Linked DNA regions of Elephas maximus indicus. The protein of the gene in region 3 interacts with the protein of the main gene of each other region in a pairwise test. Links are inferred from orthologs where the notes say so. Each region holds a gene or a part of one and is shown on either strand. Other genes may lie near its edges.

Region 1 (10,541 bases), on a different chromosome or scaffold from region 3:
GCGTGGTGCCTTAGCTGCTTCATGTTACTTCCCTCTCCTCTCTGGAAGAGTACCCCAAGACTAGAGAAAATCAGCAGCTCCTGCCACTGCCCTCTTTAGAGTAAGAAAGCAGTGGGGAGGGGAAGCAGAATGTGACAAGTCACTCAACAGCCCCTGTGGGCCAACCTAGGCCAGGAACCAGGGAACTCAAGATTAAAGAGACCCAACCCTGTCTCAAAAATGAGGGGGTCTGATGAAAGACACAGTCATGCAAATAAGTCAGTATGTTCCCACAGTGACCCTCTGCCTGCCTCCGTCCTCTTCGCAAGGCACCCAGCCATGTCCCAGAGCAAGAGTACCCCTTTCACAGAGGCCCCAGGTAAGAAGATTTCAGAGAAGCATTCCTGAAACTTGTGACTCAAGAGAGCAAAGAACAGCTCTGGGTGTGCAACTGTAATCTATCCTGCTTCCTGATAAGTCTATTGTTTCTGTATTAACTGCCCCCAGGCGAAACCTGTGAGGGCTCTTAGGAGCCTCTCAGCCCAGCAACCAGGCTCTAGCTGAGCTTCACCTTCACACTCTGAGGCTCCAAAACTACAACCCACTCCACAGAAAGGCAAACTGAGGCTGATAGAGGCAGAAGCTCTGCATGAGATTTCCCTTAATTTGGGCTGGACTTGGGCCCGCCCCACTCTTTCAGAATCACCATTTGGAGCTAGGGAAGGGTGGCCTCATGAGGTTCTCAATGGTGGGGGGGCGGGCAGAGGAAGGGTAGCAAGCTTCAAGTAGCTGCTTCGACTGCAGCCTGGCTCTTTGCCCTCTGCACCCGAGCTATGACTCAGGGTTGGAGTATGAGCTCTCTCCTCCCTTCCTGTCCACCAGGGTTACAGTTTCTCCCTCCTCCAGGGGCAATACCAGCCCCACCCTGGCCAGGTCACCAGCCTAGCTCAGCTGGCCACCTGGGCTGCTGGCTTAAACGCACAGACCCTCTCTGAAACTTTGCTGCATCTCCACAAATTCCAAGGGATTTTTATTGCTAGGGTCCCAACTGCCCAGGGTCAGGAAGAACTGGGACCCACTTCTGACACCAAAGAGACAGTGTAACTAAACATACTTTTTTGCAAACATACTAGGCAGAATAACAGGGCAGAAAGAAGTGTGGAAAGTCAAGCCACATTACACATCTGAGCCTCAGTTTATCAGGTTCATAATTTACAGTTGCAGTAACACCTGCTTTGTGAGGTTGCTGTGAAGACCTGGCACCTCATAATAAGTAGTAGCTATTGTGAATGGAGGGTAATCGTGGGGTCTTCTTAGCTTCAACTTGGAAAATCCGGTACCACAGCTCCAAGGACCTGTCTCCTTTTCATGTCCTTGAATCCAGGGATCCCACTGTCCAGACCAGCCTCCTTCTACCTTGCTGTCTCCTGCCCAAGGGCTCAGATAACAAGAGGCAGAGAGCCCCACCCTAGTGGGGATTCCAGGGGAATTATGGGCAGACCAATCTTCCATCTATCTTCCCAAGTGTCTCTACCTGTTTCCACGCACCTGGGAAAGCTAGGGAAGAGGGGCATGGCAAGATTCTTGACAATGTAGGTCTCCAGAAACAAATGTTTCCCAAAAAAGGCTTGTGACAGAACTTTCCACCTCAGGCAAAACGTAGAGGACACATGGCTGACAGGAAAGAAAGACAAGGCCTCTCTCCCTCCCCAAAGGCCCTGTGGCAGCCCTCCAGAGTGCCTGACACAAAGTAGGTGCTCAATAAGTATTTGTAGAATGAATGTGGGAATGAGGTCACCTTGTTTCTCCCCCAACCCTAATCCCAGAAATCCTCTGGGGAAGAAGTAAATCTCAACCTCCTTCCTCAAACATAGTCATCAGCGAATACATATTTATTCACCGTGCAGAGCACACTGGGTACTGCAGGTTGGGGGCAGGGTGGCCAGTCAGAGGCGACAGCATTTACCCACCTATACCTTGGGGAGATATGGCTCAGGGAGGAGAAAAGGCTAATCCAGAGGAAGTAGCTTGTGCTTTGGGCCCCGTTGGGGATTAAGTGCTGTAGGGGACTTGTAGAGGAACGGCCAAATCTAATTTGATTTTCCTGTTGTAACAACCTCTTGTTGTAAACGGGAAGCCTCAGGAACTTGGCTAGAAACAGTGCTTATGGGACGGAATTTTCCCCCATCCCAGGTCTCAGCACAGTGTCCTCCAGCACCAGTTCCTGGGTCCAGGTGCCTGTCCTTACTGCCAGGAGGGGGTTGGGAAGAGTAAGTCTGATACCTGGATATTCCAGGCCTCCTGCTCAGTGCAGGGGGCGAAGTCTTCCTGGGGTCACCTCCTGTAGGGAGAGCTCTAAAAAGAGGGAGGAATCATCAGCTCCCACTCCCCTGGACAACCCCCACCTGACTGTCCCCTTCCAGCTTGGGGAAGTGAACAGCTGCGGAGGGCACCTTGAGGAATCTCTGCCCCCTCTCCCCTTTGACACACAGCATCAAAAGTCTTTACAAGGGAGCTGGGTGTGGGGCTAGACACAGGATCTCAAAAGGTAGGGAGGGCATAGCCTACCACAACCCCTTGTGGGCACTTTGGCAGGTGCTTTCCAAGTACACTGCCCCACCTCCAAGGAAATGCCATCATCATACCCATCTGACAGATGGCAAAAACTGGAGCCCAGAGCTGTTCATAAAGCTGACAGGAGCAGACTAGAACTAGGACCCAGTCTCCCAACTCCCAGCCTAGTAAGTCCTCCATCATATGGGCCTTACATGGATAAAATTGTCTACTGCCTCTTCCCAATTCATGACTGTGGAGAAAAAGGGGGCACAGGGAATTCAAAGTGCAGAAGCCAAAATCTCTACCTCCAGAGAAGAGCAAAAAACCCAGGGTGCAAAGACAGATAAACTTCTCAAGGGAACAATTCTTGATCTAGCCCTCCAAGCTCAAGTCCCACCCTCCAGAGGCTGGAATGGTCATTGGGAAGGTCAACAACTTCCCCTTCTGCCCACACATCCCCCCCTCTCCCCGCCCAGCCAACCCAGGACAGACAGTGAAACAGCAGCAGTCTTATATGCCCTCTTCCCCCAAGAGCAATTTCAAACGTATTTCTGAACCTCAGAATCCTATCCCCTCACCCTGATCCAGAACCAAAGGTCACAGAGGAAGTTTCAGCCCCAAAGGGGAGGAGAGACACAAAGTATCCAATGAGCTATTCTTTCCCAAACAAAACCAGCTTCAGGTCGGCAATGAACTTGGCCCCAGGGCTCTGCAGCCTTCTTCCACCCTGAACCCCCTCACCCCTGCCAATTCAAACAGAAAGGTGGGAATATTTGCACTTGGGTCCGCTTTGGGAGGTGGGTGGAAAGGCACAATGGAGAGAGGAACAAAATCCCAGTGGCCTCTGCTCCTGTCTGGGGAGGGGATGTGGAGGGGGTCAGATTTTGCCTTAGGGTCCTAAGGAGCTTCCAAGAGGACCGGATCAGACCCAAACTGTGCTGGAAACACCCAATTCTATTCTTCTCCCCCCCCCCCGCCAAAGTATAATGGCAACCAGATGAAGGAGTCTAGGATGGGGGTGGCGCGTATACGGACCCCCAGGGGACAGTGAATTTCCAAAAGGCCACCTTCCTTTCCCCCCAAATACCTTCCCTTTTCCTTGGATTCCTCTGAACTCAGCCAACCCCACCCTCCATTGGGGAAACCTGCTTTGAAAAGTTAGCTCTTTGTTCTACAAACCGGTCTCCAAGCTCTGAGCACAATTTCTGGAGATCTCTGTGAAATATTCCCCACACACACCCCACTCCAGCACCCGACCCCGCCCCGTTCAGGCTGGGCCTCACAGCACCCGGAATTGGCTTTTAATTTGAGGTGGGGGTTGGGAAGCGAAAGGAGGAGGTCTGATAGTTCATTAACCACCGAATCACCAAAGGGACCGCATGTCGTGCAAAAAGGGGGTCCCGCTGTGGGGTGCGTGTCCTTATCCGAAACCCCCTTCACCATATGCAACACTCGCCGACTCATATTCGCCGCCTCCCAGTCTCCAGCCAAAAAGCTGGGCCATCCGCGACCAGAGGGGACGTCTTCGCATGCCACCCCCCGTCTCTGCCCCGCCCCCTTGCCGCCCCCTCCCCCAGCGCCCAGCGCTTCCGCCTACTTGGCGCTCCGCGCAACGGGGAAAGGGAGCGGCCGTCTCCTCTCACTCTCCCGGCCTTAGGGGGTGGGACTGCACCCCTAAATACCCGCCACACACACAACCGGCTTCTCCGCTCCCCTTCCATTCTCCCACCCCCGGCGCACAGAGCCCACTCTTCTCTTGGAGTGGTCGCCCGCCACGCGTGGACTCTCCGTCTCGCCTCAGATCTCCTGGATTCCAGACTGGGGTCTGCCCCCATATCCCATGACACCGCCCTCCCTCCCACCTCCCGGGATCGCCTTAGACCCGGCCCCTCTCTCCTCCCCCAACCTGAGCACTCCGGGATTGTAAAAACGCGCCTCCGGTTGCGGGCTCACCTTATCCAGGCAGTTCACCTTCTCCGTGGGGTACACGATCTTACTGCACCGGGCGCAGCTAGGGTTCATGGCTCCGGGAAAGGCTGGAGCGGGAGCGCCCGAGCTCGCGCGCGTTCTCTGTCCCCGGCGCGGGCTGGCGGGAGGCGGCCGCGGCTGCGACTATGCAGACAGCGACGACGGCGGCTGGAGCTGGGGAACTGGCCTCCGCCTCCGCCCTCCTTCCCCTAATAAACACGGCGAGGAGGAGGGGCTGCACCGGGGCGGGGACGCGCCGCAGGCGCGAGCAGGGGCGCGCGCGGAGAGGCGCGCTCCCCGGGCGACGTGGGGCTGCGCGGGGGTGGGTTCCGGGGAGGGCTGCGGGGCTGCGGGTGCGCGCCTAGGTGTGTCCCAAGGGCCCCCGCGCCCCTGCATGCCCTGGCAGACATCCCCGGGAGAGGCGCCCCCGAGCCATTCTAGCGCTAGGAGCAGTGCGGAGCGCGTTTGGGCGCACACCTGGGGCGCCCGGGCTGAGGGAGGTGGCCAAACCCCGCGCACCTGTCCTGAACGCCCGACCAGATTCACCGTAGGGCATTATTCGGGGACTTTCCTTGTACCCGTCGGTACCTGGTGTGACCCGCAGACTGAGCGGGAACCCTCCCCGCCCCGCCCCTCAGTTAGCACCCCTCCCCCATATATCCGTTCCCACATTTGTAAGGCGGGACCTGTCGCTCCCATCCCAACTCTACGCCTGGCGGCCCTGGGTGGTTCTTCCCTCCCCGCGCCTCTGCCTCGTAGCTTTCCCCCGGGTTCTTCGGATTCGGGTACCTTCTGGTTACCGCTTCGCCCCCATTCCTCCTTCGTTCCTTTCACCTAATCCCCACGTCTCACGCTCAGTGTAGTAGCCGCAAGTGTATCTTAGCACTTAAAAGAGCGAATTTCAGGCGGTGGAACGGCGCGGGGGTATAGCTCAGTGGTAGAGCATTTGACTGCAGATCAAGAGGTCCCTGGTTCAAATCCGGGTGCCCCCTCTAAAGTTTTTCTCTCTCCCTTCCTTATAACTACTGTAACTTTCTTTTTAGTTTTTCCTTCACTCTCATATTTTAACACTGGGTCCTAGGTTAAAAGAAAAAAGCCCCTTCCTCATTTTCCAGCCTCAGCGGAAAGCCTTCGGTTTTGCTTTGTGCTCAGCGGAGGGGGAGGGTGCGCGGACAAATCAGGTACAAAAGCTGCCGGAGGGGTCGGGATTTCTGCGGCCACAGCTGCCAGCCCCAGATGTGTCAGGCAATTTGAGGTGCGGGATCAGAGGACAGGATGACTTCCCCAAGTTGCCATTCCGTTCCCAGTGGGGTGTAGGGAGGTGGGTCAAGAGAGGAAAATCCACAGAGACAGCCCTTCTCCAACTTCAACTTCCTTTATTATATCACCGGAGACAAGGGCGTGCTGTGGTCACCCTTCCCTATTATTCATGACACAGGCAGTGCGAAACCACTTCGAGAACGTTAAAATGCCCAATGCACACCCCTAAGCTCATTTTTAAGTACAAACTTAAAAGTTTTAATCTGATGCAACCGGATACAAGCTAATACAGTGGTTCTCAAACTTCAGCGTGTATCAGAATCACCCCCTGAAGGGTTTGTTGTTTGAAAAAAAAAAAACAGTTTAAATATCCCCAGAAAAGCACTTTTCTTTTTTTCCTGAGCACCCTAGATCTGATTCGGTAGGTCTGGCCCCGATAATTTGCATTTCTAATAAGTTCACAGGTGATGCTGATGTTGCTGGTCCCCGGGGGTCACCCTCTGAGAACCACTGAACTAATAATAATACCAGGCCATCGAGTTTCATAACCTAATGGAAACATATCTGCTGTCTGCCTCACTGACAGTATCACCGTTGGGCAGGAGGGAAATGTAAAGTGTGAAAAAAGGAGAAGCAGGAACGTCCCTCTCCACTGGGTTTTGCCCAAAAAAAGGAAAAATAAAGGAGAAAGGGAGAGGCACGCTGCCTGGGTCAGGGGGCAGCGGCAAGATATTTTAGATCTGGAATCTGGTTGTGTCATGCCTCCGGCCCCGGGGGAGTACTCGGGAGCCTTTTTTTTTTCTTTTCTTTTTTTAACATGGTTTCCATTACTGTGAGCTGCGTGGCAGAACTGGACATGAATAGAGAGCGAAAATTCTGTCTGATACCAAACACTCAAAGAATAAACTAGTTTTTGCTTATTTCCCCAAGACCAGGCCCCGAACTTAGAGCCTACAAGTTACGCAGGCAAAAGCTCTAATCTCCATGGCAATGTAAAGAACGGAGAGTATGGTCTTTCACCTTGTCTTCCATGTGTGCTGTGTCCTCTTAACGGGTGTACAAATCTTGTAAGTTTGGATTCGTTCTTTTAGTTTTCCTGGTTAGAATACAGGCTAGGCAAAATAATACTATTTCCCACCACGCCCTGCTCCCAACACGCCATTTTCATCCAGAAACGAAATTACAATTAACATTAAACCAGGTAATAACCAGTGGGTTTGGATCAGCCTCGGAGTTCGCTCGGCGCCTCGATTCTGCTTTGAAACAGCACGCGTGGATTTCTCGCCGGCGAGTCGGGGTACGCGGCTCAGACTTCTGGGTTGCTGCTCTGGTTCTCTGGCTCGGAGAACATGTGAAAAGGTAAACCAGGTGAAAAACGCTGCTCACGGATCGAGAAAAACGTCGCATCTGTGGGCACAGATTCAGATTCTGAACTGGCTGATTTTTAATTCGAGTTTTTGTTGTGACTAAATTCCTGCCATAAAAGTGAGAAGAGGGGGCACCCGGATTTGAACCGGGGACCTCTTGATCTGCAGTCAAATGCTCTACCACTGAGCTATACCCCCGCTCTTGGCAACCGTCTGGTAGATTCTTTTTACACCAATTCCAAAACCCCTTTATGCTGGAGATTATTTGTAAAAAGTAACTTTCTTCTTTCTCATGACAAGACACAATTTTAGACATCAAATTCAAGACATGGTAGTTAGAAAACATGAATTTATGTACCAATCTGCCTTTTCTAGGCTCAATTCTTTATCCACAATCCCATTCATCTCTCTCCCCTAACAAGTCAGAGAACAACGTCTTTCAAAACTAGATAGGGAATGTTTTCCCCTAATCTCTCTAAAAAGAATACAAACACCAGCTTAAAAAGCATCTCCGTTTACACTGAGAATAATTCCCTGGCCATGTTCTCTAGTGGTCTCCTTTCTTTCTTTCTTTTTGGAGCACTTATGTGCACGTTTAGCTCTAGGCGCAGGAGTTACTTTCAACAGAGAGAAACAAGGTTCTCATTCTCACTGCCTTAACAGTCTAGTGAGGAGTATACATTAGAAATAAATCCACAAATAAACGAGAAAATACCCGGCAGTGATAAGGAAAATGACTGAGGAATCTGGCCATCTGGGGAAAGTGTGGCATTCAGGTAGAGGAAATGACTACTACAAAGGTTCTAAGCCCAGAACGGCTGGAGAAAGGCGGACAAGGGGGAGAATGATTCAGGAGAGCTGGAAAAGTAGCAAGGTCTGTGGAGGGCCTTGTAGATCTCAGTAAGGAGTTTCGATTTTATTCCAAATGTATAGAAAGCCACTGGACGGTTTTCAGCAGGAGTTTTTTTTAAATCGTCACCTAGACTGCTAGAGATAAACACTCAAAGGGAAAAAATAACATACCACGAGAAAGCAAATGCAGAGGGTAGTAGAACTGGGGAGACAGGCCGTTGATGAAAAGGGAAAAAAAGTCACAGACTTTCTTAAAATTTGGCATTGAGAAAGAAACCAATGGGGAGGCAATCACAGATAAAACAAGAATTTCCCAATCTAGGAACCTGTTGACACTGGAAAGAGGTGGAGTGGTGATTGAAGATACCGGGGAGAATAGAGACAATGGGGGCAAGTCTGGGATGGGAGCAGAGGTGGTCTTAGGAAAAGCGAGAGAAACACTTCCTCTTGTGTGCAAATCACTGGGTTGGGGATTCAGTGTAGATCAGGTTACATGCAGAGAGGATGGAAAGTAGACTTAAAGAATTCCCAGGTGCCAGAGTAGAAAAGGCTGTAGTGATGGCGGAGAGACACTCCATTGCACATGGCACGGACCTTTAAGCCTGGGTCAGAAGCGACTTCTCCCTACTTTCCCACCATTTGGGCCCAGATTGTTTAGTGACAAAAGCGTAACAGCCTCTGTGATTTTTTTTTCCCCCCTCCAGCATCATCCGCTCTTTTTTCTGGCCCTGGGAAACCTGAAGTAGTTAATTATAGCCAAAAATCGAAACAAAACCGTTGCTGTTGAGTCGATTCTGACCAAGCGGCCTCTTAGATCAGGGTTCCCAAGGAGCGGCTGGTGGCTTTGAACCGCCAGCCTTTTGGTTAGTAGCCAAATTTCTAACCACTTGGCCACCAGGGCTACTTGTATTAAGCTGCTATCAATTACCAGAGGCACTGTCCGTTCAGGAGACATGACAATTAAGCTGTAATCTAACGCTTTCCAGCAGAGGGGGTATAGCTCAGGGGTAGAGCATTTGACTGCAGATCAAGAGGTCCCCGGTTCAAATCCGGGTGCCCCCTAAAGCTTCAAGTTTTATAAAAGACTACGTATCTTATCTACCCTCAAAGTGAGCCCTGGCAGTGCAGCAGTTGAGCGCTCGGCTGCCAGGTGACAGGTCCGTGGTTTCGGTAAAGATTTACAGCCTGGGCAACGCAATGGGGGCAGTTTTAGTCTGTTTTATAGGGTCGCTATGAGTTGAAATTTGATTTGGTTTGGGGGTTTGGTTTGCTTTTGGTTAGTCATCCTCAAATGAACAAAATGGAAGACAATGGAAGATATTGAGTGAACGCAGTTTAAGGCAGAACCAACTAGAAATTCTGGGAACAGAGAAAAGTTAGCGCTGCTTACCCCGCTGACAATTTTACAACCAAAAAAACCCCCAAAAGATCCTCCAATCCAGGAAACAAACTTCTCCATCGCCCAGGTGTATACAACTGAGCAAGTATTCTGTTTCAAACACTCTGGGAATACAGAAAGGAATAAAAATGCCTTATCCTCCTGAGCTTCACCTTCTAACATCAGATCAACATACAACCAAATAAATTACTGTACAGTGTGGTATCTCTAACATTTCATTCATCCTCTAAATCACTGGTATCTCAAGTGTGGTCTGAGAACCCTCAGGTATCTCGAGACTATTTTAGTGAGTCTTCCAGGAAAAAGGAGCTATTTTCATAATAATACTCACCCATTATTTGCCTGTTTCATTCTTTCATGAGTATACAGTGGTACTTCTACGTGAAGGGTGATATTGCAACAAATTAACTGTAGAAACAGATATGAAAATCCAGCTGTTTTTCATTAAGCCAGACGTTAAAGGGATTCCTCGAATATATAAAGCAATGCCACTCTTCTCACTAAATTATTTTTGTTTAGAAAAATATTATTTTCACTCAAAAATGTTATTTAGATTAACAGGATTATTGTTATCTTCAATTAATAAATAAACGTTTAAGCATTCCTCAATTTTAAACTCTAATTCAGTAAATGTCGATAGATAGAACCCATATAAACCAAAATTCTTTGCGGCCCTCAATAATTTAAGAGTGTTAAGTGTTTTTAAGGTCAAAATATTTGAGAACCGCTGATCTAAGAGGTGGTTCTGGGGGAGAGAATGCTGGGTTTGTGAGATGGCAAAGGGAAGAGGTGACATTTGAGCAAAGTGTTGAAAAACTCATAGTGGGTAAAGCAGAAAAGAGCACGCACAGATACAAGGAGGTGTGAAGCAGAAGAATGTGTCCAGAAATCCTAGGCAGTTGGGGGTTGCTAGAGTATGAAGTGTGAGAGGCAGAATGGAAGATGAGGCTGGAGAGACAGACAGACCAGTTCCTGAACAGACTCCAGTGCTATGCTAAGGAGCTTGGACTTTTTTCCCCAAGCACTGGAGGGCCAGCACAGGGTTTTAAGCCAGGGGAGGTTATGGTCAGACCTTTCAGAGGCAGTTGCGATAGTTCACATGAGAGCCTGAACCGAGGGCAGATTGGGAGTCATGGACAGAAAAATTCAGGAAGTAGAGT
Region 2 (10,358 bases), on a different chromosome or scaffold from region 3:
CTCCACAACTGTATCAAACTCGTTGGTCATGAGTTCCCCAAGGAAGTCCTCCACCTCATCTAGCTCCAAGTCAGCTGAATAGGAAAGGATAGGGCCCTATGGTCAAAGACCAGCCAACCTTACCAACCCTGTCCAATACTCCTCAGTACTTATTTGGTGGGTCCACATCTGGTTGGTAGGTAAAGGCCCGAATAGTAAGCCTTTTATTCACTGAGGTACTCTGCAGTCTAGGTCTTAACATGATTTAAAAAAAAAAAAACACTAAATATTAATACTTAATTTCCTATATCCCATCCTACCAAGCCCTGTATTACCACAGCTCCCAGCCGCCAGCCCCGTGTTCACCCTCATTCATTGGGCCTATTTTATCTGGTAACCCTCCCATGTGACCGTGAGAAGTTACTTACTCCTTTCTGAACCTCAGTTTTCTCATCTATAAAATGGGGCTAATAGTGGCCTCCTTAAAGGTCTGTTAGGAGGTATCATCCAAGACAATGCCTGGCACAAGGGAGATCCATAATCCATGTTAATTTCCATCACTCAAAGACTGACATTTTTGAAGAATAGAAATACTTCACAACTGTGGCACTATTGATACAGGAGGCCACAGACCAGTGGGGTAGGTAAGAAGAAATGAGTGTAAGTACTTGCAATGATGATTAAATTACGATGTCACAGCCTTGACATCAAAATTCTACTGTGTGACCTTGGCCAAGTCCTCTTCTGCGGGTTTCAGTCTCTTTACAGGCTCAGGTCAAACCCTCTACTTTTCTGAATTAGAGAAGAACTCAAGAAAGACTTCCACAAAGCTCCTCACCCTCTCTTCACTCTACATGTTTTCCCTGGGGGAGTTCATTCACCCCCTTAGTTTTTCCTACCATCCTATCCTGTTGTATGTTGCCGTCACGTCAATTGCAACTCATGACAACCCCATGTGTGCAGAGCAGAACTGCTCCATAGGGTTTTCAAGGCTTTTGGAAGCAGATGGCCAGGCCTGTCTCCTGAGGTACCTCTGGGTGGGTTCAAACTGCAAACCTTTTTGCTAGTTGTCAAGCGTTTAACTGTTTGCACCACTTAGGGACTCCACCACTCTATCCTAATATCCCCCCAATCTGCCTCCAACTCAGACTACCCTCTCTGCCTAGTTGTTTCACAGGCACCTTAGACCATCCATATCCAAAGCCAGACTCATCACTTATCCTCCAAAACCTGCTTCTCATCCTCCAGAGTTCCTCTGCTCCATGTTGTTGTTAGTTGCCGTCTAGCCAATTCTGACTCATGGTGATCCCATGTGTTACAGAGAACTGCTCCACAGGGTTGTTTTTTTTTTTTTTTTTTTTTTTTGCTGTAATCTTAATGGAAGCAGATTGCCAGGCCTTTTCTTCCACAGCACCACTGGGTGGGTTCAAACCATTAATCTTTTCTTTTTTTTTAATTTATTTATTTATTGTGCTTTAAGTGAAAGTTTACAAATCGAGTCAGTTTCTCATACAAAAAGTTATACACACCTTGCTATGTACTCCTAGTTGCTCTCCTCCTATTGAAACACATTACTCCTGTCCTCCCTGTATTCCCCGTGTCCATTCAACCAGCTCCTGCCCCCCTCTTCCTTGTCATCTCGCCTCCAGACAGGAGTTGCCCACATAGTCTCATGTGTCTACTTGAGCCAAGAAGCTCACTCCTCACCAGTAACATTATCTAATAGTCCAGTCCAATCCCTGTCAGAAGAGTTGGCTTCGGGAATGGTTCCTGTCTTGGGCTAACAAAGGGTCCAGGGGCCGTGACCTCCAGGGTCCCTCCAGTCTCCACCAGATCAGGCTTATGGTCTTTTTATGAGAATTTGAGATCTGCACCCCACTGTTCTCCTGCTCCATCAGGGATTCTCTGTTGTGTTCCCTGTCAGAGCAGTGATCAGTGGTAGCTGGGCACCATCTAGTTCTTCTGGTCTCAGGCTGATAAGGTCTCTGGTTTATGTGGCCCTTTCAGTCTCTTGGGCTCATCTTTACCATATGTCTTTGGTGTTCTTCATTCTCCTTTGCTCCAGGTGCGTTGAGACCAATTGATGCATCTTAGATGGCTGCTTGCTAGCATGTAAGACCCCAGACACCTCTCACCAAGTGGCATGCAGAATGTTTCTTAATACATTTTGTTATGCCAATTGACCTAGATGGCCCCTGAAACCATAGTCCCCAAACCCCCATCACTTCGAAGCGTTCGGTTGTGTTCAGGAAACTTCTTTGCTTTTGGTCAAACCGTTAATCTTTAGGCTAGCAGTTAAGCATAAACCATTTGAGCCTTCTAGGGACCTTTCTCTACTCCGTGAAAGGTACCTAATCCCCCCGGTGAGTCAAACCAGAAACCTGCCCTCTTTTCCCTCCCCATCTACAATTAAGCAATCTCCAAGACCCTAATCCACCCCTTCTTTTTCACGACCACTGCCACTGCCCTAGTTTAAACCCGTTGCCATCGAGTTGCTTCCAGCTCATAGTGACCCTGTAGGAGAGAGTAGTTTTAGGCCTCGTCATATTCTAAACATAAACAGCCTTCTCATCAGTCTTTCCCCTTCTAGTCCATGCTCCATACTGATTATTTTGTGATCTTTCTAGCCAGCAAATCCCATCCTATTACTCACCTTAGACCTGCCTATGAATTTTTAACCCGTACTTCAGTGTTTCATAGTCTGCCTTTGAAAAATATCCATTCTGTTGGGGGTCGCTATGAGTCAAAATCGACTCGACGGCAATGGGGGTTTGGTTTGGGTTTTGGTCCAGCCAAGGACTTAACCACTGCACCACCAGGGCTTCTTCTGGTCCATAGAAAGCTAACGGGAAACACAGGTAAACAATTGTCTTTTTAGTGGTTATCGGCTACTAATCGAAAGGTCAGCGATTCGAACTCACCAGCCACTCTGTGCGAGAAAAATGTGGCGGTCTGATACCATAAGATTACAGCCTTGGAAACCCTATTAGGCAGTTAGTTCTACTCTGCCCTATAGAGTTGCTATGAGTTGGAATCAACTCGATGGCAACAGGTTTGGTTTTGTTTTTTGGTATTCTCATCCAAGGAGTCCCTGGCTGATGCAATTGGTTAGGTGCTCATCTACTAACCAAAAGGTTGGCAGTTTGAGTCCATCCAGAGGCACCTCCTAAGATAGACCTGGAGATCTGCTTCCAAAAGGTCACAGCCTTGAAAATCCTATGGAGTGCAGTTCTACTCTGCACACATGGGTGGCCATAGGTCAGAATCCACTCAGCAGCAACTGGTTATCCTTATCCAAGGAAACCCTGGGTAGTGCAAACAGTTAATGCACTCAGCTGCTAACTAAAAGGTTGCAGGTTTGAGTCCACCCAAAGGTGCCATGGAAGAAAGTTCTGGGGATCTATTATAAAAAATCAGCCATTAAAAACCCTATGAGGAGAGGAAAAAAAAAACCCCTATGGAACACAGTTCTACTCACACACATGGGGTCACCATGAGTCAGGATCAACATGATGGCAATTGGTTATCCTTATCCAAGCCTTTAATATGCTAATAAATGTTGAGACTCTTAAGTGGGAGCAAAAGAAAAGAGCTTTTCTTATATAATTTAAGTAGAGAAGCTTCATCTTCACTGAACATCTAACAGGACTAGCTTTCCACAGCATGCATTTTACTTTAGCAAACACTGGCCTAAAAGAAAAAATTAAAGACGTGTAAGGCCTTCTATGTTTTAGTCTTTTGGGGGGTGGCGCAGGGGTTGAGCGCTCGGCTGCTAACCAAAAGTCTGGCTGTTCAAACCCGCCAGCGAAGAAAGATTTACAGCCCTAGAAATCCTATGGGGCAGATCTACTCTGACCTGTAGGGTCACTACGGGTCAGAATTGACTGCACTGCAACCAGTTTGGTTTGTCATTTTTTTCCCTACCCCCTAGCTTCGTTCTCCATCACTCCCCACCCCCACACCCTTACTCCAATACGTCCCTGCCACTTTCCAAATATCACATACCTCATACCACAGAACTCATGCGAGCGTTGCTCTCTCTGCCTCCCCCACCTAGTTAACTCCTTCTCACCCTTTAAGACTCAGCCCAACCACCACCTCCCCTGAAAAGCCTTCCCCCTAGTTTCACATTCCCCCGGCACCCTGAGCTCCTCTTTATCAGAACATCTATCACTCTGTGTTGTCTGGCTCCTTTACCAGATAGTAAACTTTCTTGAGAGAACCGACTTTGCCTAAATGTTACACTATGCAACAGGTCCACTGTTGGGCCCCTTATTCTTTTAATGCCCCTTAAGACAAGTCTGAGGTGTCGATATTCCCTGTCCCATACAGCTAGGCTCCTCTTCTCCACGCCTCCACACAGACAGGTCCGAGCGCCTCACGTTCACTCACCGTTGCGGCTGAAGTACTCCTGCACTGCATCCCCCAGCCACTCGGCCTTCTCCTGGCTGTGCACGCCCCCGAAGCCATTCTCCACAGCGATCTGCAAACACAGGCCCAAGTCCACCATGTCAGCACGGGAGCCGTCCCGAGGTGAGGTGAGGATTCGCTGCTTATGCCACCCAGTCAAGCCTCGCCGGACAACTCCTGTTCTGCTCCAAGTCCTAACCTTTATCCTGTCCTTGGCCCCACTCACCTGTAAGGCCGGCCAAGCCTCCAGCGCAGCGCGGACGCCAGCTCCAAAGAGCGCCCACAAATCTCCACTAGCGCCCGCCATCATCCGGTCGCGAACCACGTGATGCGCAAGCCGACCAATCCCTCCGCAGCATCGTCCAGGCAAACCGACGCAGAGGCCGATCTGAGAATAGGTGAGCTTTTCGCTGAGCCGGCATCAAGGCTAGAGCAATAGAAAAGTCTATCAGAGCGATCGATGGGAATACCGCAAACCGAAACCCCCCCAAAAAACCAAACCCATTGCCCTCAGTGGAATTGCAACTCATAGTGGCCCTATCGGAAACCCTGGTGGCGTAGTGCTTAAGAGATACGGCTGCTAACCAAAAGGTCGGCAGTTGGAATCCATCAAGCTCTCCTTGGAAACTCTATGGAGGCAGTTCTACTCTGTCCTGTAGGGTCGCTATGAGTCGGAATCGACTGGGCAGCAACAGGTTTTAGTGACCCTATTTTTTATAGGACAGGGTAGAACTGCCCCATCTCTACAGGAACAAATTGCCACATCTTTCTCCCGCAGAGCGGCTGGTGGGTTCCAACCGCAGACTTTTCAATTAGCAGCTGAGCACTTAACCACTGCACCACCAGAACTGCTTGGCAACACCACAGTTACTTGTAATAAGGACGCCAGAAGTGGCGGACGGTTGGGGTCACTCGGTTTCGGATCCTGGGTTCTGGGCTATGGGTACTCCGCAGGAAAGATGTAGGGGGAACTTAAAAAAACATACATATTTCCGGTCCTTGGGGTGGAGGAATCAACCTTGGGGAGCCAAGCATAAAGAATCTGCATTTTTAAAAAGCATCCTAACAGCTATAGAGGAGAGCCCTGGGGGCGCTGCTAACCGGAAGGTGGGCTGTTCGAACCCACAAGCTCCACAGGAGAAAGACGTGGCAGTCTGCTTTCTAAGGATTTCAGCCCTAGAAACCCTACGGGGCAGTTCTAACCCTGTTATAGGGTCACTTTGAGTCGGAATCTACTCCACGGGCATGGGTTTTTAGGCTTAACATCTATAGAACACTGCACCAAGAAACAGCAGAATACATATACTTCTGAAGTGCACATGAAACATTCTTCAGGATAGACCATATTCTAGGCCATAAATTTACAAAGATGGGAATCATACAAAGTATGTTTTCTGACCGTAATGGAGTGAAATTAGAAATCAATAACAGAAAGAAATTTTGGAAATTCACAAATATGTGGAAATTAAAAAAAAAAAAAACACTGCCATGGAGTCATTCAGACTCAGTAACCCTATAGGACACAGTAGAGCTGTCCCATAGGGTATCCAAGGAGCACCTGGGGGATTCAAACTGCTGACCCCTTAATTAGCAGCTGCATTACTTAACCACTATGCCACCAGGGTTTCCATGTGGAAATTTACACACTCCTAAATAACCAATGGGTCTAAGGAAAAAAGGGAAATTAAAAAATATGAGGGATTGCAACTAATGTCACACTACAATATGTGTATACATTTTTGTATGAGAAATTAACTTGAGTTGTAAACTTTCACCTAAAGCACAATAAGAGAAAAAAAATACATTGGGATGAATGAAAACAAAAGCACAACATACCAAAATTTGTAGGATGTACACCAGCGTTCATTGCAGGACTATTCACAGTAGCCAAAAGCTGGAAACGATCTAAATGTCCATCAACAGATGAATGGATTAACAAAATGTGATACCTACATACAATGCAATATTGCTCAGCCATAAAGAGAAATGAAGTCCTGATTCATGCTACAACATGGACGAAAACATGTTGAGAGAATTTTTACAACAATAAAAAAATGGTTTGAAAAGTGTTGTGTGAAATAAGTCACAAAAAGGACAAATATAGTATGATCCCATTTATTAGCTTTACCAGGGGTGGGAGGAATGGAGGAAGGTGCAACCTTAGCTAGTTTCACTGAGGTTTACGTAGAAACACTAATTTCTAGCTTCACTTAGAAACAGAGTTTGTGTTAATAGTAGCGGAATGATTTGGAAATGGATAGTAGCTATGGTTGCACAACATGATGAATGTAACCAATGCCATTGAATCTTACATTTAAAAAATGTTAAATTGGCAAATGTTCTGTTATTTATATATGCGTACATATATATGTATATATATATATATATTTTACCACAATAAGACAATTTTTAAAAACCTGGGGGAAAAACACTTATAGGATACAGCTAAAACAATGCTTAGAGGGAAATTTGTAGCTGTAAATGCTTATATTAAAAAGGAAGAAAGGTTGCAAATCAACAACCTAACCTTCCACTTTAGAAAACAAGAAAAATAAGAGCAAAAAGTAATTCTAAAGCAAGCAGAAGGAAGGAAATGATAAAGACCAGGGCAGAAGTAAAATGAAATACAGAATAGAAGAATAGCGGAGAAAAATCAATAAAACCAAAAGTTGGGTCTTTGAAAAGATCAACAAAATTGACAAGCCTTTAGCTAGACTGACTATGAAAAAAAGAGAGAGAGAAAGAGAAATCCTAAATTCACAAAATCAGGGATAAAAGCAGAAGCATCATTACTGACCACAAAGAAACAAAATGGATTATAAGAGAATACTATAAACACCTGAATGCCCCAAAATTAGATAACTTAGATGAAATGGAAAAATTCATAGAAACACACAAACTATGAAAACTGGGTCGAGAAGAAATGGAAAGGGTAATGGAGAAATCTTAAAATGAGTAGTGGTGATGGTTGCACAACATGATAATTGTAATTAATGTCCCTGAATTGTACAATAAAAAATGTTGAAATGGCAAATGTTTTGTTATGTGTATAAACCAGAAAAACAAGCCAAACCCAGCGCCGTTGAGTTGATTCCAACTCATAGCGACCCTATAGGACAGAGTAGAACTGCCCCATTGAGTTTCCAAGGAGCACCTGGTGGATTTGAACTGCCGAAACTTTTGTTAGCAGCCTTAGCACTTAACTACTATGCCACCAGGGTTTCCATTATGTATATACTTACCACAAAAAAAAAAAAAATCAATGGGGAAAAAAAAAAGAAGTAGAAGCCTGAATAGACCTATAACAAGTAAAGATATTGATTTAATAATTTTAAAACTTCGCGCAAAGAAAAGCCCAGGCCCAGATGGCTTCACTGGTGAATTCTACCATACATTTAAAGAAGAATTAACACTAATCCTTCACAAATGCTTCTAGAAAATAGAAAAGGATAGAACAGTTCCCAACTAATTCTATGAGACCAGTATTAGCCTGATACTAAAACCAGACAAAGACATCACAGAAAATATATAAATAAATAAACACCAATATCCCTTATGAATATAGATGTAAAAATCCTCAACAAAATACTAGAAAATAGAGTTCTGGAACACATAAAAAGGACTAAACATCATGACCAAGTGGGATTTATCCCAGGAATGTAAGGTTGGTTGAAAATATTAATGTAATTAAAAATTAATGTAATGTAATACACCATATCAATAGAATAAGAAACAAAAATTACATGACCTTAATAGATGCAGAAGCAATGTTTTTCAAAAAGCCAACACCCTTTCATGATAAAGACACTCAATAACTAGGAAGAGAAAGAAACTTTTTCAACCTTATAAAAGGCATCTATGAAAATCTCACAGCTAAATGGTGAAAGAATAAATGTTTTCCCCCTGAGATTAGGAACAAGATAAGGATGTCCAACCTCACCACTTCTATTCAACATTGTAGTGGAGTTTCTAGCCAGGGCAATTAGGCAAGAAAAAGAAAAGGCACCCAGATTGGCAAGGAAGAACTATATTTGCAATGACATCATCTCATATGTAGAAAATACTAAGGAATCCACAAAAAATACTGTTATGACAAATGAACAATTTCAGCAAGGTTGCAGGATACAAGATCAATATAAGAAAACCAATTATATTCATATACATTAGCAATGAACAATCTGAAAGTGAAATTGAGAATTGCGTTTACAATAACATCAACTAGAATAAAATACTTAGGAATTGTCTTAGTCATCCAGTGCTACTATAACAGAAATACCACAAGTGGATGGTTTTAACAAAGAGAAATTTATTTTCTCACTGTTACGTTGCTGTTAGGTGCCGTTGAGCTGGTTCCGACTCATAGTGACCTTATGCACAACAGAACGAAACACTGCCTGGTCCTGCGCCACCCGTACAAACGTTGCTATGCTTGAGCTTATTGTTGCAGCCACTGTGTCAATCTACCTCCTTCAGGGTCTTCCTCTTTTCCGCTGACCCTGTGCTTTCCCAAGCTTGATGTCCTTCTCCAGGGACTGATCCCTCCTGAGAACATGTCCAAAGTATGTAAGACACAGTCTCGCCATCCTTGCGTCTAAGGAGCATTCTGGTTGTACTTCTTCCAAGACAGATTTGCTTGTTCTTTGGCAGTCCATGGTGTAGTCAATATTCTTCGCCAACACCACAATTCAAAAGCGTCAATTCTTCTTCGGTCTTCCTTATTCATTGTCCAGCTTTCACATGCATATGATGCTATTGAAAATACCATGGCTTGGGTCAGGCGCACCTTAGTCTTCAAGGTGACGTCCCTGCTTTTCAACACTTTAAAGAGGTCCTCTGTAGCAGACTTACCCAATGCAATGCGTTGTTTGATTTCTTGACTGCTACTCCCATGGCTGTTGATTGTGGATCCAAGTAAAATGAAATCCTTGACAACTCCAATCTTTTCTCCGTTTATCATGATGTTACTCATTGGTCCAGTTGTGAGGATTTTTGTTTTCTTTATGCTGAGGTGCAAGCCATACTGAAGGCTGGGGTCTTTGATCTTCATTAGTAAGTGCTTCAAGTCCTCTTCACTTTCAGCAAGCAAGGTCGTGTCATCTGTATAACGCTGTCTAGTAAGCTAGAAGTCCAAATTCATGGTGTCACCTCCAGGGGAAGGCTTTCTCTCTCCATTGGCTCTGGAGGAAGGTCCTTGTCATCAATCTTCCCCTGGACTAGGAGCTTCTTCACACAGGAACCCAGGGTCCAGAGGATGCAACTCTGCTCCCGCACTGCTTTCTTGGTTGTATGAGGTCCCCCCTCCTTTGCTCACTTCCCTTTCCTTTTTTTCTCTTGAGAGATAAAAGGTGATACAGACTACATCCCAGGGAAACTCCCTTTACATTGGAGCAGGGATGTGACCTGGGCGAGGGTATTACAATCCCACCCTAATCCTTTTTAACATAAAATTACAAAATGGAGGACAACCACGCAATACCAGGAACCATGGCCCAGCCAAACTGATACTCACATTTTTGGGGGGGCATAATTCAATCCATGACAGGAATAAATTTAACCAAGTATAAAAACGGCATGGGGGCAGTGTCTGACCTCCTCTAAATTTACAAGGGGGAAGGAGAATCACGATCAACAGCCAAGATTGATTCCTATGAGGCAGAGGTCAGATATGCCTCCTCTCTACACCATCTTTACCAATTCTGACACCAAATGTCCCTCCCACAGCACTCTCTGTCTCTCTGCTGGATTGGATAATTCATTACAGTGGCCACACAGAACTCACAGACAATACTCATGATGTTGGGGTTTATTAGGGAAGTAACGGGTTACAACTCAGGTTCGGGAATGCTCAAGATACAGTTCTTCTATCAGGATAGCCTCTTCCCAGCCATTCTCACAGGTATGCCTCTCCCTAGCCCTCTGCCTGTGTGGAAGGGCACTCAGCTTTCTCGCTCGGTGGACCAGGAAGCCCA
Region 3 (10,145 bases):
CTGGAACAAAGGAGAATGAAGAACACCAAAGACAGAAGAAAAATATTAACCTGAAACAAAAGGGCCACATAAACCAGAGATTCCATCAGCCTGAGACCAGAACTAGATGGTGCCCAGCTACTATCAATGAGGGCCCTGACACGAAACACTACAAAGAGTCCCTGATGGAGTGGGAGAAAAGCGTGGAGCAGAATTCAAATTCACATAAAAAGACCAGACTTAATGGTCCAACTGAGACTGGAAGAACCCCCAAAGCCATGGCTCCCTGGAAGCTCTATTAACCCAGAACTAAAACCATTCTTGAAGCCCACTCTTCAAAGATTAGACTGGCGTATTTTTTACGGGGTACTCATGAAGAGTGTGCTTCTTAGTGCAAGCAGATACACAAGAGAAATGGGGCAGCTCCTGTCTGGAGACAGGATAAGAAGGCAGGATGGGACAGAAATTGGTTGAACGGACACAGGAAATCCTGGGTGGAGAGGGGAAGTGTGCTGTCATATCATAGGGAGTGCGCTGTCACATTATAGGGAGTGCAACGAACGCCACATTAACAATACGTGTATAAATTTTTGTAAGAGAAATTAACTTGAGCTCTAAACTTTCACCTAAAGCACAATTAAAAAAAAAAAAAATCTGTGTACAAAAGTTCATAGTAGCACTATTCATAATAGCCAAAAAATAGAAACAACCCAAATGTCAATCAACTGATGAATGGGTATACAAAATGTGGTACAGCCCTACTATGGAATATTATGTGGCCATAAAAAAGGAATAAAGTTTGGTATGATGAAAATGTTCTAAACTTGATTGTATGATTCCATTAATACGAAATGTCCAGAACAGGCAAATCTAAAGAGATAGAAAGTAGATTAATGGTTGCCTAGATAGAGCTGGGAGTGATGGGAGGACTATAGATTGGCAGTTAAAAGTGTATGGGGTTTCTTTTGGGGGATGAAGAGAGTTAAAATTGATTGTGGTGACGATTGTGAAACTCTGTGAATATACTAAAAACCATTGAATTTCACACTTTAAATGGGTAAAACTTATGGTATGTGAATTACACTTAATAAAGCGGTTTTTAAAAAATCCCCCCAAAGAAATATACTTTGGGGAAGGCTATCACCCCTGGCCCTATAGTTGTGAATATAATTCCTGTGGTCAACAGCTTCCCATCAGTTCAGCTACCAACCGCAGAGCCACACCAGCACGTGAAGGAGTCAGGTGTTTCTTTGTGAAACCACCACTGACCTATGAAAGGTCTTTGCTCTGTTTCCTTTGTGCCACTACAGTAGCTTGTACTGCCCTAGATCATGGAGTTATACCATATTGTAATTGTCTATTTTCTGTACCAGCTGTGAATTCTTTCAGGGCAGAGTATTAACCAGGGTCTAGCATAGTTTTTTTTTTTTTTTTTTTTTTAGCATAGTGCTTTGCACTAAATGTAAGACTGAACAACTATCAAGCATCACACACAATACATGAAGTCAGAGACTATTATTGGTAAAGATTACATGAAACGTCTTTTAAAAACAAGGCAGAGAACCAGCTGGGAGTGCACTTTACCCCACTCCACCAAAAAAAAAAAAAAAGGTAGTTCAGACTGTGAAAGGTAACTTACCCAAGGTTATTCAGTAGGTCAGGGCCTAGAATTTGACCCACTGTAAGTCCAGGAGTGTTCTCTGCACCAGTGTGAAGCCATCCCATTCTTCTCCCATCAACATAACCCAGTCACAGAATGAACACACTAAGTCTCTGCAGCTCTGTTCTCACATTATCTCCCACACAAATTACTCAGTCCAGTCCCGTCAGCTTAGATTTCAGGGCAAAATTTATTTGGAGAAATTAAGTAACCTGCAACAACCTCCCCATTCCAAGGTCTACCCCTCCACCCTTCAACAAGGCTGTCCCATCAGGTATGGGTTGGGAGGGAAAGAGAGAGGGTGTGGTTCCACTGTGCAGTTACTCTCTAGACTTCAACATGAGCTATCTCAGCCCTGAGTCCTTCTGCCCACTGCAACTTGTTCAGAGTGCAGTGGTGCTGCCCTGGCAGCATTTAGGTCGGTGGCCATCTCCTGAGTCGACTCACATTTCAGTCACTGTGATTAGTATATGAGGGACCAGTGGTGGTGACAAAGGCAGAAAAGAGGCACAGGGTAGTGAGGGAATACCCTCTCTTAAAGAGGGTTCAAGGAATGACACATGGAATGCTCAGTGTGTTAAAGTGCTCAACTACAATATAAAAAATAAAAGTTGGGAAGGTATCTACTAGTAAGAAAGTAAGTTACGATCAGAGAGGCTTCTGGAAAGATACAACAAAATAGGTACAGAAAAAGATCTCTGCTCACATCATTCCAGCAGTGATGAGGGAAGCTTAGAGCTTAGTCATCCATTTACTCAAACTCTGAATCAAGTGTATCTCTACGTAGACACTGGTTCTTTTAACCCTTCACAGAGACCGAATGTAAAATTTATCATCATGTCTTTTTGCTCTAACTCATCTCTCACCAAATAACCCTCTGATCTGAAATTAAGTTTCTTGAATGGACGCCACCACCAGGAAAGGAGGGTCCATTATGGGCAAGTGATCAGTTTAAATATGACCTGTAAACCACCTTCCTATCAAGTGGTTAAGGAGCCCCGGTGGTGCAGTGGTTAAGCACTCAGCTGCTAACCAAAAGGAGGGCAGTTTGAACCCACCTGCCACTTCGCAGGAAAAAGATGTGGCAGTCTGCTTCCATAAAGATTTATAGCATTAGAAACCCTATGGAGCAGTTGTACTCTGTCCTATAGAATCGTTATGAGTCAGAAGCAACTCAATGGCAGTGGGCTTTGGTACAGGGTGGTTAGCAAAAACCCGGGGTGAGATGAGAAATCTGAGTTTCCAAATTGCCAGGCTGAGGCCCACACTGAAGACAGAGGTTATACACAGACCCATAATGTATCTACCCTCTTGACATGATTACAAGATCCAGGATTGAAGTGCAATGATAGTGAGGGGTGAGTATCCATCAGTAGCAGTGGCTCTCTTGTCCTGAAAATCAGTGTATGGCCTCAGAAATCACTTGTAAGTCCAGTGGGCAGTGGCCCAGCCCTGGCCCTTGCATAAGTCCTGATGGCGAAGGAAACAGGCATGGACTCTGAACCTACGGCCACAGTGGGGACAGGCGTGCAGGGCTCCAGCATGGGTCTTCATGTGCTCTGTCAGATGGTGCTTCAGCTTGAAGCGCTTGTTGCAGACGCCACAGCCAAAGGGCCGAAGGCTGAAAGTCAGCATGATGTGCCTGTCCCGCTTTGGCTTCACTGCAAATCGCTTCCCACACAAGCAACCAAAGCGTTTTCCATCTGCAGGGGGTGCCTCTCCTAGTTTCACAGGCCCATGCACAGCTTGCCCTGCTCCCCCAGGTCCTCCACCTCCTGACAGGATTTCATTCCCATGAAGATCCACTGGTTTCCAGGAGGGGCCTCCTCCCCCAGATGGTGCGTCTGCTCCTGAGGGCAGCAATAATTCTAACTCCCCATCTCTTTCAGTGTTCCGAGGGAACACTTTGGTCTCCTCCTTTGTTCCTCCAGACTGAGTTCCACCTCCTAGTATCTCTTCCTTAAGCTCAAAGGGTTCCTGCTTTATGTAGAAGATCTTGAGGGGCAGTGCAGTAGAAGTGGTAAGAGGCTCTGACGGAGCACTCTCGCCCTCTGGAAGCTTGCAGGGAGTAGTGGATTTTGGTGATGGGTGGGATCCATGAAGGCGGGGGAAATCTCCTGACACTCTCTGAGGCTGAGGAGTCTGCGAGAGTGCTTCTGACCCCTGGTCCTCATCTTCTTCTTCTTCCTCCTCCTCATCTTCCTCTACCTGAATCTGTAATACCTCTCCCAGTTCATTTCCCTCCCCTACAACAGGACTCTCCACAGAGGGCGATGACTGCACTGGGGTCTGGAAAGGGGGAGATCGAAGGCACCAGCCTCCTGCAGTGGATGTAGCGGAAAGAACTGAGCGGTATGGGGTTGCTCCACGGGCTGAGAGTCCACCACCTGAGGCTTCTAGTTCTTTAAGAACCTCTGAGCACTGATCTACTACTTGCCACATCTGGAGGCCACTGGCCACAAGGAGGTGGGCAGGCAGAGCATCTAGTGGCAGGTGGAGGCGTCCTGAGTAAATGAGTTGAAGTAGCCCCTCGAAGGCGTCAGCTTCAATGACATTCGGCAGGGTGAGACGCGGTGCATCCCCCAGAAGAAGCTTGTCATGGAAGTAAGGAGAGGCAGCAGCCAACACGGCTTTGTGAGCCCTAAGTTCCCGACCCTGCACCAGGAGAGACACATCACAGAACTTCCCCTCTAGCCTGTGGCGGTTCAGGGTTTCCAGCAGCGATGAGCTATGCTGAGGAAACTCGATCTGGATTGTCCGTGGAGCTGGGTTGCAGACGGGGGAGGGGGCCACAGGCGGCAAAGGCGTCGAGGTATCCATGGCCTCCTCGGAAAGAGAGCGATCCCAGAGGGTGGCCAAGAGGAGAAAGGGGGCTGGGGAGAGATCCCACGCGGGATGAAGGCTGTGGAGGAAAGAGACGGGGGGTCACAGAAGCCCTGGATAAGGGGAACCATGTCTCCTCAAACAACTACCCTCCAACATTTGTCAACTTTTCAGTCTGTGGAGGTTTTGGCAGATTAGTCCCGCACACTTCCCCACCAAGAAAACAAAAAAACAAACAATAACGACAAGTTACCAACCGGGGTTGTAACTTCCAAGGCCTGCGGAATAAGATGAGGAAGTCTCTCATCCACGAGCCTGACCTCGCCAGCTCGGGGTCGCTCCTGCCCCGCCGCTCCGTCTCCCTTCACGGTGCCCGAGGTCGGCTCCGGGGAGGCCACGGCCAGCAGAGACCGCGGGGCCCCGCCCGGCTGCCCTGCCCGCCGACACACCCCCACCGGTACACACGCGGTGTGGACCTAACAGCGCATCCGCAGCTTCAGCGCGGTCCTGGGCCGGAAGTCGCCGCCTCCTCGCCGGACGCCTACGCCGAGTGCAACCAGCAGGCTGGGGCGCCAGCCAATCGGAGGGCGGCAGTCTACAAGCCTGGTATTGACTGGTTGAGCGGGTGAGAGGGGCGGAGCTGGTGCGGTTTCTGGCCTGGCGCCTGGGCCGAAGAGGTGGCTGGGGGACGCTGCCGACTCGGTACGTGGGGGAGCGAGTTGTGAGTCGCCCCGGAAAACTGCGTTTCGTGGTGATGGAATGTAGCGCCCGGCCCCCCATAGGGGCTGAGAACGGCGAGATTAATTGGGCACCTACTGGGAGCTAGATGCTTGGCCACATCATCTTTTATCTTCCCACCAGCTCCTCCACGTAGGTGTTTACATCCTCGGTTTCCATGCAGGAAAACCGAGGCTGGAATAAACTCAGCTGGCAAATGGTGGGCCGGGAACTGGAAACCAAATTTCCTCCATTCCGCACAGGAGCGTTTTCACCAGCAATGAATTAAACAACCCTTATTTCTGGTAATTATTTTTTACTAGGGGGCAGTGGTGGTTAAGTGGTAGCGTTCTTGCCTTTCACGGGGAAGACCTGGGCTTGATTCCCAGCCAGTGCACTTCAGGGCAGGCACCATCAATGGAGGCATAGTGTTGCTTTAATGCTGAATAGGTTTCTGAGGAGCTTCCAGACTAAGAGTAGGAAGAAAGACCTGCCTATCTAACAAAAACCAGCCAATGAAAGCCCTATAGGTCACCAACTGGCCGATCCACAACTTGATCATGGTGATGGTGCAGGATCAAGCGGTGTTGTGTTGTGCATGGGGTTGCTATGAGTACGGCCAACTTGATGGCAGACAGTTTTTTACAAAGTAGTTTTTTTAGGTACATGTACTTGGAATCTTCTATCAGGAGCCCCTCCCCTCCTCCATCTTTGCTCCTTCAGTCTAAGTGGAACGGTGGGTGAGGGCACACTACATTGGGGAGGTTTGACTAGTCCCTGCAAAACCCCTACTCTTCATAATAAAAAAAAAAAAAATTAAATCTCCTTGCTGGGTGGGAGAGTCATTCTGTGAGGATTTGTGCACTCAGAGAAGGATAATAGTCATTTCTCCAGACTGTTAGTCTCCTCTCGAAAAGCAGATCCTACCACCCTGCTGGTCCATCTTGAGGGCCTCGCCTAGGAAAGTCAGCACAGCAATAAAAGAACAATCTCTGTTTATTAAACATTTTTCTGTTTCACCACACACTCCAGAAAAAAAGGAAACGGGGCTGGGAGTGGAGAAAAAGGGACTGTGATGGGGGATAGAGAAGGCTGGGAGTCATGTGGGGAGGGAGAACGAGAAAACAAAATAAAACTGGTAGGAAAAGCGTCCCCTACCCTTAGGATGGTGGGTGGGGAGGGAGTGGAGGGGGGGGGCCGGGAAGCTCTGTACAGAGGGGTTGCCCCCAGCCCACACGCGCACACACACACACACACACACACACCCTGGATATATACAGTACAAACCCCAGATAATTACAACAGCCAAAGAGGAGAGGAGGAACAGGGGTCCAGGGGTAGGGCCTGAGGTGGGAAAGCAGAGGAAAGGGCACAGGGATAAAATTTCACATATTTACAACTTTTATATAAGTATAAATTTGGCCCCGGCTGGGTGTATGTGTGTAGGGAGATGGGTCTGAAGGGGAACTGTCCATACAAAAGAAAGGGCGGAGTCTGGGAAGAGTCTCAATACCAAACGCAAAGGATGTGGAGGCAAGGCTAGGTAGGGGACAGCAGTTAGGGAAGAGGGGGTGCCTAGGAGGGGCTTCTCCCCTCCCATGGCCTACCCACCCCAAACCCCATCCATCCTACCTCCCCTATCCCGCCAGAGAGCTATGTACAGAGAAACACCGAAAAATTCTGGAGCTGGCGGGAGGGAAGGGGGAGAAGGGAGATTGGGGGGTAGGGAGGATGAAAGGGAAGCACAGCCCTGTCCTACCTCCTCCCAGGGGACACAGTCATGGAAGGGGGCCCCCCCAACACCCCTCCTCCATCACAGGTCCCCCCCACCCTGGGGGGAGGGAGACATGGCTTTTCCTAGAGTAAGTTCCCCCCTCCCCCTGGGAGTAGAGACCAAGAAGAGAGAGGGGAGGGGCAGGGGGACTGTATGTGAGGATATGGCAGGTAAACTAGTCTGTCCTCCCCCACATACACACCGTCCTAAACCCCATCCCCTCACTCTAACCTCAATTCCACCCCACCCAACACACTGGGGGAGGGGGGGGCATGAGCCCCCTCACCCCGCTCTGGGACCAGCCGAGAGCAGATCAGGTGTGGGAAGAAGGGAGACAACTCCCATTCCCCCCTTGCCGCCCCCTCCCTGCCCCGGTGGCCCCCTCCACCCCATCTGGGTTCTGGGTGGGAAGGGAGTAAATTTAAGAGTGGTGGGAGGAGAAGGAGTTTGTGCGTGCTGAGCCCCCCCAGACGCTCCTGAGAAATCAAGGGGTAATAGGGCCCCCTCACCCGGGGTCCCCTCCCCATAACAAGGGGGGCAGGGGAGGCCAAAATGGGGCGGTGGAGGGGAGTTAGATTGTCAGCTCTGGTTACTGCTAAAAAATCACCCTGAAGTTGAAAGTTTGGAGGTACCACACCCCCAGGGTGGGGGCGAGGTCTGTCCCCCAGTGCTCAGGGGAACGATGAGGCAGAGGATGGGGATAGCACCCCGGAGTGAAGGGGTCTGTGTGGGGTAGGTGGTGTCCTAGGGCTAGGGTCCCTGGGGGTCACAGAGGGGGCAGCACCCCGACAGGTAGGAAAGGGAGCAGCTGAGGGTCCCCACTCTCCCTTCTAGGAATGGTGCAGTGGGGGTAGGGGATCGGTGCTCCCCAAGGAGGCATCCAGGGAGGCACTCCCGCTGTCCCTCGGTGAAGTCCAGTCCTGGTGGTTGGTGCTGTTCCGGGGTGGAGTGCATGGGCGAGGAGGAGGATGGGTCGGTGATGCTGGGTGGGCTAGTGGTCTGCGGTGTTTCGGAACTCGCCGTTCTCGGTGATCTGTAGCCGGGGTGGGGGGGGCGGGGCTGGGGGGGCCAGGCCGTTCCAAGGTGGGGCCAGCGTCACACGCGGGTTTGTTGGACCCAAGGGGGGAAGCTGCCTCTCCTGCAAGATACCAAAGAGGAGAGCGCGGACTTATTGAGACGCTTCGCGGGAGCCTGGGTGCCAGCCCCCTAGCTGTGGCCTCCCCCATAGCCCGACCACTCCACAAGCCATGTCCCACCCCCTCCCCCCAGGACAATCCCCACCATCCTGTTTTGTTTCTCACCTGCAGTAGAAGTTATGTCCTCTGGAGTCAGGGAGAAGAAAATCTCAACCCTAGACTCCTAACTGGGGCCTTCAACCCAGGGAGTCACACCAGGAAACCAGCTCAAAAGAAACAAGTTCCTACCTTTCCCCAACCCAATCCCCTCTATCTTTACCGCATACTCCCTGCCCAGCCCACCCTCCTTCTCTTGGGACCCGCCTCCCAGCCCACCCCGAAACCCGAGGTAGGAATTTTGTGTTGAGGGAACAAGGGGAGGCAGTACAGCAAAACCTCATTAATCCAAACCCCCATGGATTTGGAATTTTTGTCATAATCTGAACAGAAACTGGGCTTGAGTTTTCCTTTATCTCTGAAGAAAGGGTGTGCTAAGCAAATTATGGTGGAAATGCATCTGTAGGAGGGAATATTTAACCTATACCAGAAAACAGACTTTTCAATCCTATCTATTCATTAACGCATGCTCCCTGAGGGCCTCGAGTGGAAAAAGCCTTGTTCATCAAGTTCTACTTACTGTATGTATTTTGAAGACATGCATTTCATTAAATAGACACTGTCATTCAGTTTTGTCACTTATTCAGAGTGGCCATCTTCTCAAATATAACATTCCAAATTAGAGAGGTTTAACTGTACTGGGGGGAAAGGAAGGGGATTCAGGGAAGTGATTTGGAAAGGGAAAAATGTTGTGGGAGGGATTGCCTCTCTCACACTTCTGGCAAAAAACGACTAGAAGCTTCTGCAGAGACACAGCATGCCCCAATCTCTGCATCCCCAGGAAGCAGAAACTGGCTCCATTCCTTTCCACCCCCATCTTCTTTTTAATCCCTCTCCCTGGGATCCCAGCTAGAGAGTGAGAGGTACCAGACCCTACTCACTCCCACCTCTGGTCCTATTCTCATCTCCTCCTACTAATCCTGGACCAATTCTTGCTTCCTACCCTCAGCTGAGAGAGAGAAAGAAAGCCATCTGTACTTCTGGGTCACTCACTCGGGTTTTTTAAAATACAGAGTCAAAATTAATTTTAATACTTTCATCTAAAGCACAATAGAAAATTTTTTTTTTTTTTAATTTTTTAATAGCCAAGTCACACAGGGACTGATACCCAGAAGTGGTTTCAAACAAATGTCCAAATTGTTTCCAGGGCCACAGGGCATTTAGGCCTGGCAAAGTAGCTATGCCTGACCATATCCTCCAAGAATACAAAAACATTCCAAGTAAAGGCTCCCAGATGAGCAGCTCTCCCTTCCATCCCAGGATCAAAGAGCTCAACTCTCAGTCACCAAAACCCCAGCCTTGAGCAAAGCTGCCCTCTTAGCTGGCTGGGTGTATCACACACTTTCTCCAAGTCAGCGAGAGGAAATTACGTATGCTAGGGTATCCTGAGATGGCGGGAGAGCAAGGAAGGAAACCTCAGATTCCCTTCTCTCTGCTCATCTGCTGGCGACAGCACTTAGGCATGCCCCCTACACCCCCGTGGACCCAAATTTAGAAAGTAGATAAATTAGGGTGCCATTATTCATTTTACAAAAGAATTCACTGCAGGAGTCCTTTAAATGGTGAGGTCCCCTGGTGCCTTTTAGCATCTGTTGACAGATCACTAACTACTCTGACAGAAAGGCTGGGCAGGCAGAGAGTTAAAATTACAGTGTGAGGAGCCACACTGCCCACTGCAGATCAATCCCACAGAAAATAAAAAAAAAAAATAAAAATAAAAATAAAGCATCTTGGAAATGATGTCAGTCCCTAACAGGTTCCCATTTACAGGCTTTTTAGGTAGGAATATGTGTCCGGCAAGGCCACTGGGTGGCAGGAGAGGAGGAGTGAGTAGCCTTAGCAACCCCTTGGGGCTGTGAGTTCTGAGGAGAATAGAGAGGTTATTTAACACGCTGTTCCT

The links.
Region 1: the proteins of ZBTB9 (region 3) and LASP1 interact in binary tests that used the Homo sapiens proteins (3 or more experiments, as listed by UniProt). The two-hybrid records come from large-scale screens. The link is inferred for Elephas maximus indicus from reciprocal best matches to the Homo sapiens genes ZBTB9 and LASP1.
Region 2: the proteins of ZBTB9 (region 3) and TSR2 interact in binary tests that used the Homo sapiens proteins (3 or more experiments, as listed by UniProt). The two-hybrid records come from large-scale screens. The link is inferred for Elephas maximus indicus from reciprocal best matches to the Homo sapiens genes ZBTB9 and TSR2.

What each region holds. Positions count from the first base shown.
Region 1 is NC_064837.1:46,398,500-46,409,040, reverse strand, and holds the start of LASP1 (LIM and SH3 domain protein 1), read right to left. Parts: upstream 4,718-10,541; 5' UTR 4,558-4,717; coding exon 4,489-4,557; intron 1-4,488. UniProt on the Homo sapiens protein: Plays an important role in the regulation of dynamic actin-based, cytoskeletal activities.
Region 2 is NC_064846.1:113,558,643-113,569,000, forward strand, and holds the start of TSR2 (pre-rRNA-processing protein TSR2 homolog), read right to left. Parts: upstream 4,718-10,358; 5' UTR 4,700-4,717; coding exon 4,616-4,699; intron 4,463-4,615; coding exon 4,372-4,462; intron 75-4,371; coding exon 1-74. UniProt on the Homo sapiens protein: May be involved in 20S pre-rRNA processing.
Region 3 is NC_064819.1:96,272,968-96,283,112, reverse strand, and holds ZBTB9 (zinc finger and BTB domain-containing protein 9), read right to left. Parts: upstream 4,983-10,145; 5' UTR 4,770-4,982; coding exon 4,720-4,769; intron 4,542-4,719; coding exon 3,059-4,541; 3' UTR 1,275-3,058; downstream 1-1,274. Other genes in the region: SYNGAP1 (ras/Rap GTPase-activating protein SynGAP), read right to left, coding at 7,945-8,091. UniProt on the Homo sapiens protein: May be involved in transcriptional regulation.